Linked DNA regions of Arabidopsis thaliana. The protein of the gene in region 1 interacts with the protein of each later gene in a pairwise test. Each region holds a gene or a part of one and is shown on either strand. Other genes may lie near its edges.

Evidence for each region. The genes of interacting proteins can lie anywhere in the genome.
Region 2: the proteins of ZFP3 (region 1) and AFO interact in binary tests that used the Arabidopsis thaliana proteins (3 or more experiments, as listed by UniProt).

The regions. Positions count from the first base shown.
Region 1 is NC_003076.8:8,683,120-8,690,603, forward strand, and holds ZFP3 (zinc finger protein 3), read left to right. Parts: upstream 1-4,068; 5' UTR 4,069-4,404; coding exon 4,405-5,112; 3' UTR 5,113-5,296; downstream 5,297-7,484. UniProt on the Arabidopsis thaliana protein: Acts as a negative regulator of abscisic acid (ABA) signaling during germination and early seedling development. Involved in the regulation of vegetative development and fertility. Modulates red light signaling in seedling photomorphogenesis.
Region 2 is NC_003071.7:18,626,078-18,634,864, forward strand, and holds AFO (Plant-specific transcription factor YABBY family protein), read right to left. Parts: upstream 4,703-8,787; 5' UTR 4,476-4,702; coding exon 4,362-4,475; intron 4,352-4,361; exon of another isoform or gene 4,241-4,351; coding exon 4,079-4,240; intron 3,985-4,078; coding exon 3,852-3,984; intron 3,277-3,851; coding exon 3,228-3,276; intron 3,138-3,227; coding exon 3,062-3,137; intron 2,644-3,061; coding exon 2,566-2,643; intron 2,451-2,565; coding exon 2,373-2,450; 3' UTR 2,175-2,372; downstream 1-2,174. Other genes in the region: AT2G45180 (Bifunctional inhibitor/lipid-transfer protein/seed storage 2S albumin superfamily protein), read left to right, coding at 300-704.

The DNA of each region.
Region 1 (7,484 bases):
TAATTAATTAAACTTAATTAAAAACGAAATACATTATTAATTTCCAAAAAAGTAACCAATTAAAATCAACAAATTGGATTTGATATCTAAATTATCATATTAATTTTTTTATTAATTATTATAGTTCACTTCTCATCTTTATATGATTCTATTTTTGCGAAAAATAATATCATCGCTATAAAAAAATAATTAGAATTTTTTCGCATATGCCATAATTTAAATTTTTAAAAACGAATATAAACTATTCAATACATGAAACAATATTATAACGGGTCAAAAATAGATTTAAGAAAACTTTCTACTGAGTACTGGGTCATAATATGAATATTTATATTCAATTTCATATATATTGTTTTGAAAATTTATAATCTTATATACTACAATAATTAATAACATATTAGATTTTTTTATGTGTATGATGTGATTCAATTTTTAATACAAGCTGGAAAATCCTAGAATTGACGGGTTTAGATCGATATTAATACAAGATGGTATACTACAGGTGAAACTCTAAAATTAACAATCAAAATACAAGTGTATAATTTTAAACACTAAACAATATAAATAATATCAACAAAACATATACAACTCGTAGTTTATTATACATTTAAAATCAAATAAAATAATATCGTATATTTATAATCATCTTTACAATAAAAGTTTTTAGTTTAACTAAAATATAAGCTTACATGCGGTATACTGCAAGTTAAAATTATAAATAAGCAAATTACCATCACGATGTTTGTACCTTCTCACATACACACCTATCAAAAACTTAAAACCTTTCAAGACCTCTTGGTATATTCAAATTAGGATTTCTTCATTCATGGAATCATTCTTCCAAGGGTTTTAGGATGTCCCATGAAATGATTTTGGCAGAAGAGGATGTAAAACTTTTCGAATAAAACGTAGACAGCAAAACATATGTTTTTTTGGGAGTTTTTAGATAATTAAATCAGAGAATGGGGCTGGGCATATGAGTAACCTATTCAAGTTCGGGTAGAACCCGTTCGGGTAGAACCCGTTCGGGTTTGGGATTAATGGGTATATGATTTACTACCCAATAGAATAATTCTAAATATTTGGTTCTGGTTCGGGTCGGGTCCATTTGGGTTTGCGTCAGTTTGGATAAAAAGTTTCAGGCCCTAAAAATACCCAAAAAAATTGAAACGGGTATTTTGTATGTAGATAGTGGGTCTCCAAACAAAAAAAACTTTTAGATTTGTTAAGTTTTAATAAATTTAATTATATTTGAATATATTTTACTAAATTTTGACAAACATAACACATAATTTTTGAATAGTTTAGTTGTTTTGGATATTTAGGTCCAAAATTAATTGACATATTTAGATTTATAATTATAATTTTAGATAATTAGATTATATTACGATTAAATATAATTAATATTTTGGATATTAAATTAATGTTTGGGTTTTTGAATACCCTCTTTGGATAAAGGGTAATTTCTGGACCAATCGGATATCCACGGGTTTACTAAAACTCTACCTAATAAGGAAATTTCCTAAAATTCTAACCCGCTCTAACCCGGTTTTTTGGTTCGGATAATGGATTGGTTATCGGGTCTGTTTTTTCGTGAGCCCTATCAAAGATAATCTAATATAGGGCCCAATTAGGTTCACAAATATAACCAAAACATTATACAAAAACTAATTTTAAGTTAGGCCAAAAATTAGATCTTTTAATACAAAGGAAACATGTTTCTTACTAGAACAACTTGTATACAAATTTTACACATTTACTTAAAATTATATATGTTGTATTTATTATAAAAATAATATTTTTAAACAAATTCAATCCAATGCAGCATTATATCCAAATAGTAAAAACATTGAAAAATATTATGACAACACTTTTATATTATACTATTTCTTATGTAATTCAAATAAAGTATACAATTTAGTTTATACACAATATTAATGTCCGTGCTATACAGCACGGGTTATGATCTAGTAATGATGTAATACACAACCTTATGTGGGAAACCAACAACAAGTAAACTATATATCAATTCAAATGACAGATTCACTGCTACACCACAGTTAAAAACAATCAATCATTTCTCATCGAAATAAATCTGCCATCAAATAATTCCAATGAGTTTTTTTTTTTTTGGATAAAATTCCAAAGAGGTTACTAGTGTGCATAACTCCACGTGGTAAGTAAACCCATAGTGGATGAATGTTATGTCTGCAATTGATAATATGTCAATTTTGGGTTAATTAGTTTTTAGTAATTTTTTACCAATAAAATTATTCCACTTTTAGAAAATAATCACTGCAGATTTGTAACTTTCGTTCACTTTGAAAACTTTTATTGAATTGAATAAATTTAGCTAATCATGTTAACTATTAGATTATAATAAGGCCCAAAAACACTTAGATGAACCCGGTTAGTGGTTAATACTTTTACTATATGATACTTAATTACTTACCGATAGCATTGACAGATTAAAAAATACACAAAAGCTTTGTCAAACAAAGAGATTTGAAAGACGAATCAAATCTCTCTACATACAGGGAAAATTATGAATAGCTACATGTCACCATCTGTTTAAAGTAAGATCCAATGTTCTCATCTGTATCTTTTGACTATGATTGATGACTATGTGACCTATATCATATAAATACAACGTGGTAAATTGTTATACTCATTAAGCTACCATAGTCCATAATACACTTTAATTTCCCAATTCACGATTTCACATTACTCACTAATCTAACATTTTATGATCAATCTATTGAGTATTGAGGATTGATGAAACAAAGAACGAAGGTATACTTAAATGGAGATGTCATATAACTCAGAAAGAACTTCACATATACATTTATTAAAGGAAAATTAGTTTTCTTATGAAAATAATTAGCCATTAATTAGAAACTGAAAACTCTTAATTAGCTTTTTCCCATTTTTGTGTCGGCCATATGTAACGTTGGACCCATCAACTAGGTCACAATTGGCATACGACAAATATACATAACTTTAAACCATTAGATCTTTTCTCTTTCATTACAAGCTAAAGTAATTCAAATTTAGCTAAATAAATTTAAACTAAAACTTTGGAAATGTGGTTTAGATTGTTATCAAAAGCTTAAGTGGGTTTGATCTTGCCGATGTGGCTTCCAAAAGAAAAGTATTAATTGGTTGAAGAAAGTGACTTTTGTCATGCAACCTAGTTGTATGTCATGATGTGAAATTAAGTGGGAAACCAAAATTCATATTGACAAATCCACTAAACTCTTTAGATGATAAAGTAGAAGAGCGTGTGGAAGTTTCAAATATCATTTCCTTTAAGATTACACAACAAGAGAAAGGTTGATCCATCATAAAGACGAAATATTCTTTAAGTCATATACATGGTCTACAATTTCTCACTAAGATACAAAGTAAAATCGATAAATATAATAATGAACGTACGAGTGGTTTCCAAGTTGTTCTAACCAGGTGCTTTGTCAAGATCATCGATCTATATTCTTACCCGAAATACTTACTTAACTATTATTACAAAGTTCGAATAACCAGTTCTTTTACTTTGTGATTAGTTTGAGCTTTGGTTTGACTCAATAGAAGACAAAAGAAAGAATAGATGAAGGAGAGGACCACACGAGAAGCCAAAGGAGACAGAAATGGTCACTTACCTCGTGGAGTTATACAAAAGTAGACATAAACAGACCTGAACAAATTTGGATGGTCCATGAACAGTACTCTTCCTTTTCAATTTTTATTGTCATCTTTCTCTTCTGTCATTTCATCATGATGTACTTACTATTTTGAGAAACTGCTTCGTTTTCCATTGTCTTTTCGATCCCTTAACTTCTTTTAGAAAATGTTCATACTTAAAATATTAAAGGATTCCTTAACATGCACTACAAAAAAAAAATTATTATGGATTGTGGATTACCAATGGTATAGTACTCATTTGGTTTACTTAGATATTTGGTCATTCATAAACTGAAAATCTAGAAACCCAAATAAATCTGAACCGGAATCAAAGCGAAATTTAAATTCTACACACTTAATGTATTTGTTGGACTATTGAAGGAGGAAGCAGCCAAAAAGGGTAAGAGTCATATATATAGATAGAGGTATTTAGATGGTGGAGTTCCAATCAACTAGCTTTAAAGTGTTTTGTGAGAAGGGTGTGACAGCAAACCAAACCTACCTATCGCTCTCATCATAGTACTTTGGTCCACTTATTACAAAACCCTAAGAAAATGTTCTAGTGTAGGGTCTTTGTTTCCTTTGTCTATTCCTTTCTAATACCATCTACTTCTGCTCCCATTCACTGATATAAACCTCTTCTCATAGCTATTATTGATAGAAAGAGACAGAGAAAGAGAAAGAAAAAAATCATCTCCTGAAAAAATCTATCCCTTTTTAGCTCTCATGGACGCTTCAATAGTTTCCTCATCCACTGCTTTTCCATATCAAGATTCTCTAAACCAGAGCATCGAAGACGAAGAAAGAGACGTTCATAATTCTAGTCACGAACTCAATCTCATCGACTGCATAGACGACACAACGAGTATCGTTAACGAATCTACAACATCCACAGAACAAAAGCTTTTCTCATGCAACTATTGTCAAAGAACTTTCTATAGCTCACAAGCACTTGGTGGTCACCAAAACGCACACAAGAGAGAGAGAACGTTGGCGAAGAGAGGACAACGTATGGCAGCGTCAGCCTCAGCTTTTGGACATCCTTACGGTTTCTCTCCACTTCCTTTCCACGGACAGTACAACAACCATAGGTCTTTAGGGATCCAAGCGCATTCGATAAGCCACAAGCTAAGTTCTTATAACGGGTTTGGTGGTCACTATGGTCAGATCAACTGGTCAAGACTTCCATTTGATCAACAACCAGCCATAGGTAAATTTCCCTCAATGGATAATTTTCATCATCATCATCATCAGATGATGATGATGGCTCCTTCAGTAAATTCACGGTCCAATAACATCGATAGCCCAAGCAACACAGGACGGGTTCTAGAAGGGTCACCGACTCTTGAACAATGGCACGGAGACAAAGGATTGTTGTTAAGTACAAGTCATCATGAAGAGCAGCAGAAACTTGACTTGTCCCTCAAGCTTTGAGATTCTTTTTCTTGATTCTTGAATTTAGTGTCTTTTTACTGTTTTTTCATGTGATTGTTAGTACTATTTTGTGTATATTTTTTTCTAGTAAAGATAATCTAATGTACATCTTTTTCACATATCTACTTTAGTCTGAGATTTGTAAACTATTAACTATACATTAATGGATTTCAAGTAGACATCCAACAACCGTATAAAGTATAGAGTAAAGGAAAAAAGAGAAGAAAAGTGAATATTGAGATCTGTGGGAAGATTTGATTTCAGAGTCACAAGAAAAAGGAATTAATATTATAATTCAAAGTTAGGTTACCTAAAAGTTAGAACAATCATTCTATTTGTTTAAAAGTTGCTAATAAGACATTTAAACAGAACAAAACAGATAGAAATAAACTATGAAGACAGTTGCTGTGTAGGATGATTGTGACACTAAAAGCAAAAGAGTACTAGAAGAAAAATTAAACACAATATCAAATACAATTCTTTGGTAGTATATACCAAAATACATGTAACGTTAAATAAACTAATAAAGCATCCAATGGGGTTCTCTTTGTTAGAGATTATTAGAAGGGCATCACATTGCTCCATATGTAAGAAAACATTAAAAGACAAAACTTGTCATAGATGTTGCTATCATCACTTCACGCGTGTTTTCGACAAATGGTCGAAACAGTATTCACCAAATAACCAAGAACTTCTCTCGACTAGCTAATCGACAAACCAATCAGATCAAGAACAAGCCAAGATCGTAAGTAGAAACCGAAGCAAACTATAAATGAACACTCACTATGATCTTTGAGAGTTACAAGAGAATTGAATAAAAAAAAAAATCATCATCATCTATCGAGCTCAATCTTGGCTCTTGAAACAGAGAAGGTAATTGTTTTAATAAAGTACTCCCAAAAATGAGAACACACACACTCTCCCTTAACAAGCTGCTTAACCACGATATTGAGCTTGTTTAGCTCTAGAATTAACCCTAAACCGGTTTAAACTTAAACATATCTTACATATTTGAATTAAACAAGGGTCTGTGATTGTCATATCTTTCTTTTTTTTTCATCAGTAACCATGATTTATTCGAGGAAAGAAATATTTGTTTGTATCCATCAAGAAGAAAAAGTGTCAGATAGTGAACCAAAAGTGACACAGTTCCATAAATAAATCAAAGAAAAACAAAGTTAGACAAGCACACATGGTACCATGCAGACCATGCATATATAATGTAACCAACCTGATGAGCCCTTCAATTTATCTTCATCAGTTTGGCCCCAAAACATGTCCTACTTACACTTGCCTGAAGACATGACTTATATATATATAAGTTAAGCCTCACCAAATATGAAATAGGATTTTATTATTGGTTACATATATAGAGCAAAGCGTCTCTAATCTTGGGCCACAAGCCCCATAGCTGAAAATGACTAAGCCGAAAACGACATTCTCCGACAGTTTTGAAGGTCCAGTGAAGGATGGTCCAATGGATTCTTAAATTACTAAATTTCTAATTTTTCGGAGGTATGAATTTGCAGATTTTTGGAGTTGCCGGTAAAATCACGTAACGCAGCTCAATCGTTCTTTGTTAGTGGGATATGACCGTTATAGACCCTTCATTTACATATCAAAGTAAGATATTATTTTTTCGGATGATTTATTATATTGAATGGAGAGAGTTTTTTGCTCATTATAAATTAAGATGTTATGTTACATGTTTTGACTAACTTTAAACGCGTAAATAATTGTTTATGTTAGTGTTGTTGTTGTATCACCACCACTTGAATTTAATTGAACTCGTATATTTCATTTCATTGTTAAAAAAGGTATCAGTTAATAATATTTTGCATCTAATATTTATATATGTTGCCGGTTAATTTTAGTCCTTTGTATAGTTGTGTGTGTACGAAGATGCCTGTCGTCGAGGAGGACATTATATGTTCGTTGGTTCAATAATAGCTTTGACAAAAACATCCGATTTTGGGAAGTAAACAGCTAAACACCCACAATGTCCACACCACGATTAATTACATATATATATGCTAAAAAAGAAATAAAATTATCTTTTCAAAAATCTCTAATGCTCGAATCATAATGAAAACAATGTACATAGTCGAAGAAACAACAAAGAAATAACGAAGAGAATGTCGGTTTTGAATTAGGTCGTCCACAACTCAATATGTTATATGTGATCTTAGAAAAGGAGCGAGATACTGAAGATAGACTTCTCCGGTAAACATTTTTTTTTAATGTAATGTTAAATTATATTATAAAAAAAAATTGGTACTCTGGTGAACATTGAAGTTCTTTTCAGCAGGATAATCAAAGGAAAAGAGGTTTGAAGAAGAAAAAAAATTGGTACTCTAGAAAAGTGTGATGAC
Region 2 (8,787 bases), on another chromosome or scaffold:
CTGTCTCAAAGTTTGTGGAGCCTCTTCTTTCACAAACAAACAAGACAAAAATCTTGTCTTTTCCCTTTCTGTGATAGAAAAATAAATTAACAATTCCTAAAAAATAGTCTAATCAATTTCAAGACCTCAAGTTGCAAAAGCCAACTAGCTGGATAGTTTTGTTTCTTACTCTAATTTTCTTAAGTCGCTCACATGCTATTTTATCTCTCGGTATATGTAATTAGTAATAACTTGTTCTATATAAACCATGTCCTATATCTCTCCTTCACATTCATCCCAAAACATTACAAAACGTTACAATGGCTTCTAAGGCTCTTGCAGTTACAGCTCTTCTTATTACACTTAATCTTCTTTTCTTCACCTTTGTAACCTCCACAAAATGTCCACCAACTACTCCTAAACCCCCAAAAACCCCGAAATCGCCTAAGAAGGCTCCTGCCGTGAAACCCACTTGTCCTACCGACACACTTAAGCTTGGTGTTTGCGCAGACTTATTGGGCCTAGTTAACGTTGTTGTTGGTTCTCCACCAAAGACTCCTTGTTGTACACTTCTTCAAGGTCTTGCTAATCTTGAAGCTGCGGTTTGTCTCTGCACCGCTCTTAAAGCCAATGTCTTGGGGATTAATCTCAATGTTCCTATTGATCTAACCTTGCTGTTGAACTATTGTGGCAAGAAAGTTCCTCATGGTTTCCAATGTTCTTGAAGATTTGAGACTTTAAAAGAGAAAAATCTCTTTGGTTTGCTATGTTTTTATATGTTTGTTTCTACTGTTATCTATTGTTTTTGTGAGAAAAAGCTTTGTTCTGTCACTGTTGAGTTTGATGTAATGCTTGAGCTTGTTCATGATAGAACCTTTGTTCTCTCAATATTGAGTTTGATGTAATGCTTGAGCTTGTTAATGGATTTTATGTTCTTAGTATTTCTCCTCTCGTCCATAAATGACATTCAATCATAACGCTCTTCTATTCGTGCTCATGCTTCAACGCCTCTATTTGGTTTAGAGGGTCTCTACGTGGTCTCTTATTGGTTAATTATTATCCAACCCAACATAGGCCCATATGGACCTATAAGTCCAGAACAACATGGACCACATTAGAAAGCGAAAGGGTAAAGCCGTCATTGTTGCATACAACACGTAGAAATTAGATGGGTCTAGAAGTAACGAAACACTGCGTTTTGTTGGATTCTTCTTTTGGAACTCGTAAATTGACAACTAAGCTTGTTTACTCGATGTTGGGGAGTGTATAGTACGATGATCGGAAAATGAAATAAATATAGTCGGAGACTGAAGAAAACTATTCTGAGAAGCAATTTCCGTTGGGATCCGGTGCTAAGGATTTAAATCATTTTTTAGTCCAAAAAAAAAAAGAAAAAAAAAAGAAGGATTTAAATCATTTTATTATCATCGCATTATTGTATACCAGGCCCACTGATTGCTAAGGAAACTCGTCATTAATATTAATGGGCCGAATTCTAGTAGGCCTGATAACATATAGTCACTTGACCCAAAACGTTTTTTTTTTGTTATTTATCATGCTTGCTCATATCCTAATGTCATTTTTGTTTGATTTGCTACTTATATCCACCGCTCTATATTGCACCAAAAGAAAAAAAGACGAGTTAAATTTAAGTCTGATATACACTTTTAGATTAGCTTATTGCTATCACTGAATTTTTGATCTTACGAAATAAATTTATCTTAACTTTTAATTTCCCTCTATTTTGACAACAATTGTCGTTTGATGCATGCCCCAGTTCTTATTTAATTATACCATATCACTATTATAAAACCATTAATGGGAGCAATAAGATTGAACCATATGCAACAATCTCAAGAATCAGATTTTGAATGGAGAAATTTGAACAGAATCACATCGTTTTACATGTTTTCGGGAAGCAAATGCTTGTGCATATTTCCATTCTTAGTTTAGTTTGAATTTTGAAATGTAATATGATCATTCCCCTCTTGTTTTCTCTTCGGTTAAATTTTTGTGATATATTCATTCTGGAGGAAAAAAAGCTTTGGATTAATTGGTGGTTGTAATTTCCTTTGAGTTTCTTTTACATATGGCGATGGTGTAAAAATCTATTAAAAAAGTCTGATTATTTAAATTTCAAATTCGGCTTTCAGTAATAATAAGAAAACATTTTGATAAGTTAATTAATTATACAACTACAAATGAAAATTAACTTAAGAAACCCCATTAATTAGCAAGATTTTTGATTACAACAACAGAAAAAGACACATGCATATTTATAATATATATAAATAAGTTCAAGAAAGGAAAAGAAACCACAACTTTTGGACATGATAAACCCTAAGAAATTGGATTTCAATTCCTCAAATACTTAGTCGATTATATTTATCTCTTTAATAAGGAGTCACACCAACGTTAGCAGCTGCAGGAGCGTAGAACCCTTCTTTCATCACCATGTTATCCTCTCCCTCCTACACACATGTTTAAGATATGATCCAAATCAATTGAAATTATATTTGTATATATGATATTACATAAAAGTATATGCATTAAAGATGTAAGGTATGTCGACAGATTAGGGTTTACCTGTTGGGGCATGTTGGTTTTCTTCACGGGTTGATTGTCTGGCACGAGCCCGAAGTGTATGTGGGGGAAGTGGGCCCACTGCATTACACATAAACAACATACGTACAAGACACATATCAACTTGTGTTATAACCCGACAAAATTCTTTACTCCTAATTTCAGCTATACCTACATATATGACTGTTTAATATATATACAACTAATACAAGAGCAACTATACGCATAGATAAAATCAAACCCTAGTTTCTGCCGGCAATCTAAACCAAGTTGTGATGTTAGTAGTATCAATGGCTTAAATTCTTTAGTAAAGGAAAACAAAGAATACTTAAAACGCATCACTTCTAACTAGAATTTTCAGCGTTTAAAAAAATAATTTTTTTATTGAACTAGAGATAAATATGGATTATCAAGGACTCTTTTGATTATTAAAATTTGATTCAACCAATGGATAACAGTTTAATATAAATTTTTGGGATGTGAGAAATAAGGTTCTTACATTCTTGGCAGCAGCACTAAAGGCTTCTCTGTGGCTTATATCAGGATTACCAGCTTTGATACGTTGGATCTCCTCCCTAAAATAAAAACGTGACAAGGAATTATATTAATGTTACACAGTTATGGTTAGAATATGAATGATTGTAAAAATTAAATAAGAGACTCACTTGATGAATCGGTTATATGCGGATGGGACTCTCTGTCTTTTCTCTGGAGCTGGCAATGGCGAAATTCAACGGCAAAGACAAAGCGAAAAAACAAAAACTCAGACAGAAAGAGACAAACACTCATTAAAACTACTTTCATTGTCTTTTTTCTCTCTCACACAAATACTTTCTCTCTCTAACCCATCATCACTTCATCATGTTTTTTTAAAGACAAGCCCATCTTCTAACATATTACATAGATTTTTTCTCTTTAGCTAGATTTCCGGGGGATCCATGAATCTATCTCCCCGTTTCTTTTATCGTCACTATTTTAATGTTTACCAACGCTAAAAGCCATCTAGGATATGTAGACAATCAACACATACTAAAGTTCATGGATCAATGAATATTTTAAATATACAAAATCATAATCTCTCATGTCTCCTTCTAGTATACAAAGAAAAGAAAGGTAAAAAATCTCCTTCTAGACTTAATTCAATGGTGCTAGGGTTTGAACGAGATCCAGTGAAAGTTAAATAAGAAAAGCTATGCATGTCTTAATGGCGATTCATCATCACAACCAAATTATAAACACGGTTAGCATAGAAGTTAATATCATAAAAGTGAGAAGAATTAGTATCTTACGGCGGTTAACGGGTGGTGCTTTAGGAATCTCATGTTGTTGATGAAGATCCATGAAAGATGGTATGTCATTCATAGTAGGATGTTGATTCATCATCATCATATTCATGTTAGACGGTGCATCTCTCAGCTCCTCCTACAATAATATTTATATCCTTGAGGCTTGAGATTACTTCCAATAAGCTAAATGAGACCCTATAAGATTATGTATTTGAATTTTGTTTAAGTACCAGAATATCCTGGGGATTGAAGTAAGAGTGAGGACCGAGCTGGAGCTGGAGCTGGTTAGAAGCTGGGAGGACATATGATCTCATGTTCACCGAAAGGAGATTGGTACAGCAACCACATCGGACAGTTACGGTCTTGAACAAGCTTGTGTAAGGAACATTAACCTATAAGCACACAAAAGAAACAATGAATTTAAAAAACCCCTAATCTTGTATAGATCAAGAAGATGAGAAGTTGGAGGAGAAAAAATGAGAGAGAAAGTATTGAAGAGAGGTTATTTTGTACCGCAAGGATGGTTTGGCAAAAGTTGCATTGGACATAGCAGAGATGGTCGGAAGGAGAGAAGTGGTCCGGTGAACAAACAGCTGAGGAAGGGGAGGACATAGACGACATAGACATCTTTTTTGTAAGAAGGGGAAAAATATTGGAAGCTGATCTTTTTTTGGGAGTGTTTGGGGATTTGATTGATTGATGGGTATTTGACTGATCAGAGGATTCTTGATAAGGAGAAAATAAAAAACCCCACCATGATCTGATCTTCTTGATTGTTGGGTTGCTGTGTATTATATACCACAAAGGAAGATATATAGAGAGAGAAGAGGTGAAAGGAGTGAGAAGGGAAAGGGGATATTAATATATTAGAGGGTAAAAATTAAACAACAAATGCTCTAATTGTAGCCTCTAGGTCGTCTACTATTAATTTCGTTAATTAATTCGGTAATACTGTGTGTATATATATAATGTGGTGTATTATACATTTCAATTCAGCGATACATATATTCTTTAAAGAAATTCTCCAATGGGTTATATACAATTTTAGGTTTTGAATAGTATAACAGAGTCAGCGGTAGTGAACCAGCAACATAAATGGAATAAGTTTGGATGGTGTAGAACAGATAACACAAACCAAATAAAAATAAATATGCCGGTGTTTAATAAGACAATAACTATTTATATAATTTTTCATTAAATCAAGTGGCCGAATAAAATTTATGATCGATAAAATAAACATACATTAGTTTTTTTAATAAGTTTCGGAACTACACCCTAAACACCATTTGAATAAGCAGTTCATTTTTTTCACAAACAGTTTTTTTTATACCTTTTCCGTATATTCTTATAAATTGTATTGCCACATAACAATTGAATTGTACCACCACTATACCGCACTCTTTGTTTTTATTTATCACAAAATGCATAATCTTGACAAGTGGATCCAGATATTAAACAAATGTTAAATTACTTTGAACATAATATTAATTGACAAAAGAATTGGACAATTTCTTTACAAATATCACTTCTTTTTTTTTGATAAAAATATACATCTCACTTAGATCTTTTTTAATTTTTAATTAGTCAAATGATGCGAGTTATTATTAAATCTTTGTTGTCAACATCCAATATAAGATTTCTTTTTGATAATGCCTATATTAGAAATTCGGTTGACCATGCGGTCTCACCCTTACTAGAAAACGTAGACATTAAGCATCTATACCGTTGTACCTCTAAGATGACCTTGTGGTCACAAGGAGACAAGACTGATGACAAAATAGTTTTGAGGATATTATCGCTTAAAGATGGACCTTTTTCTATCTGATCTCAAACAATTACAAACCTAATTTTGCAATCAATTAAATTTTGGTCTATACAATTAAAAGCACATGTTAATATATGAAAATAGCTATAGGCATTTATGTTTCTATATAAATAGAACAAGAAATTCTAACTAAAGAATCAAATTTATAGCTACTATACAAAACTTTCGACAAAAATATGAGATTGGATCAATATAGCGATGACCACTAAACTACAAACCACTTCATGATCAATTTTGAAATCTTAGGAAGAAGATATTGTAGTACTAGTATGAACAAGGGAAGATTGAGGCATACATTAGAAGATTCGCGAGCTTAGGCTTTGGGGTTGGGGTTGCACGTGATGACACATGTAATGTGTTTGCAAGTAAGTTAAGAAACGACGAAGCTCTTGAAAAAAAATTTAAGTGAAAAAAGTTTTAAAGCTTTGACAATAGAATTCGCAGTTCCCAATGGAGGAAGAGAAGAGAGGAGAGAGAGAGGGCGGCAGAGGTGGGGGGAAGAAAGGGACGTGTGCATGGGAGTGATTAAGCGTCGCCTCATTCACCCGTTGTTGTCATTCCTTAATTACCACTGCCATTACTTTTTCTCGTTTCTCTATACAATTCCTTTCCTATTTTTTTAATTTTTTTTTTAATTATTAGTATTTAATTTCAATTGAAACATACTTTGTTTTGTTTGTTTGTATCATGTATGTATATGTAGAGATAAACATGATGCTCCATTTTTATTGATTGGTTATCATTAGCTTTTTAGTCAATTATATGATTGTTTTTTCCCCCTCCATTTGAATATTTGGAATCATCCAAGTCTAGACTTTCCATGAAAGCGAAAGTAAATTAATTCTATTTTTGTAGTTAAAATTTCCGAGTTAACCGGCTGCTTATCAATATACTAGTTTTATATTTCCGTTTAACTTAAATCGTTATTTTGTTGTTTTAAAATATTTGGCATTTATCACTTAATAATTTACGCACGCTCTCAAATGTGTATCCGAATTTCATTGATTAGGATAAGGAAACTATATGATTTATCTTCCTAGCTATTTTCTAGATTACAATTTTATTTTTAGTTTGTATTGCTTTTGCTGGATAAGAAAACTCTTTTTAACTAAGAATTATACAAGGGAAACAGCCAATATACTAATGTAGTGTTTCTCAATGATAGTTTTAAAAGCGCCATGAATATGTACGTATATATAGGAACACCATATTGGTGAAAGCCACGAGCAAAACTCCACACGTAATTAATTTCAAACCTACATATGATTTTATATAATATTCCATTCTCATTTCAAGTATAGATGTCTAAGAAAATATCTATGCACCTACTTGCGAAAATGATGCAATGCATATATCATATATGTTTTGTCCCACCAATTGAAAATAACTCCTTAGCTTGTATATCAATATTAATTAGTATTTGTTACTAATCGATCCGAAGAATCATAGAATTAGATTATGTAATGCAAAATCAATCGTGTTATTGCTACTAGTATTTCCTGCCCCCAAACAACATTTAAGTGGTTAAGTTAGTTAATATTTCGTAATCTCACAAGCAATTATTCATATGGTTGTGCAATCCCTAACATTCGGTTACCGAAAAAAACACATTATTTTGTAAATTCAGCATAACTTAACATATGAAGAATCAAGCTCCGAAATATTGCAATCAGCTACTATTTATTGCCTCACAATTAATAACATTTAAGTGGTCATATAAGTGTTTGACAAAGAAAAAAAGGTGGTTATATCGGTAAAAGGTCGACCAAAGATGCAAATATAAAAGGCGGAAGTTTTGAGTATTAAGGCGTGCATAATTTTTGGTTATAAGGAAGGAAACGTTGAAAATGTTGGTCTGATCATACTTTACTAGAAACGTATATAATGTTAGGGTTAGCCCACACTTTTGTCGCAATTTGGGCGATGGGAATGCAGAGATAGTACACACATGTATTGGAAATTTAAATGTTTATATACATGCATGTATGTGTGTTCTGAGATCATAGGCGTGACATTGACATTTCCCTATTCTTTTCTCTTCTGATTGGTTTAGAAAAGCTTTTGCCATAAACCCCCAATCTATTTGTACATCTAATGAGAAAGTACTTACAATTTAATTGAAGCAATAATTCATACTCTCCACTTCTCATATATATGCATGATTATGAAATAATTCTTTCAGTTTTTTACTTTTCGAAAAAAGTAACTAATTAACTTGCCAATGATGTTTCAATCAATTAATTGATATCCATTAATTAAAACGAACTTAATTCTTCAAATGGTGTGTGCATAATAGATTGTCTGGGGACTTTCTCCTTTCGAGAATAATATATCATCTTTTACTTATTATATTAGTTTTGTTTTTTTTCACAAACATCCAAATTGTAAAGGTATAAACTGAACCCCACATGTCTGAAAGTAAATATTAGTGTCAATGGAAGTCAACCATCATTTGTCTTTGGAGATCAATTATAGACACTAATCAAGTTCACTACAAAAAAGTAGACAAAGCCCATTACTATATAAGAAATAGCAACAGATGTTGACAACTTTTAAAATATCATCTCACAAATTTTATGTCGTTTAATATCAAATTTATCAGCACCGACTAAAACCGTGTTACATGGCAGTACACTTCAATTGTTAATACTATTTCTGCTTCACTCGTTAAACTCATTTTAGCTACTAAAGACATTGAGAAGAGAGTACTACTTGTATTAGTTAAATATACAGTAGTTTGAACCATTCTAGTTCCGAATAGTAAAAGTATGTACGCATCTATAAGATCAGAAACTCTGTTGTTTACAAAATTAATAAAAACAAAAATGTGCCCTATGCTTGCTACTTGGCAGGGATGAGTTAGAAATGGGCTGTTGCGCAGAACAAAGAATAATGGCTTTTCAAAGTATCATATTTTTTATATATACACACATTCCTATATACATACATAGATGTGTGTGAATAAAGCATTTACTTATTCTGTGCTTGAAAAAGGTATCAGATATGAAGACTATAGGGTTTCTCCAGTTCTATTTTCTATCTTCTTTTTATACAAAAACTACGATTCTGAAAATCTTATTCAATTATTAAAAAGCAAATGGGTTTTTGTAAGAT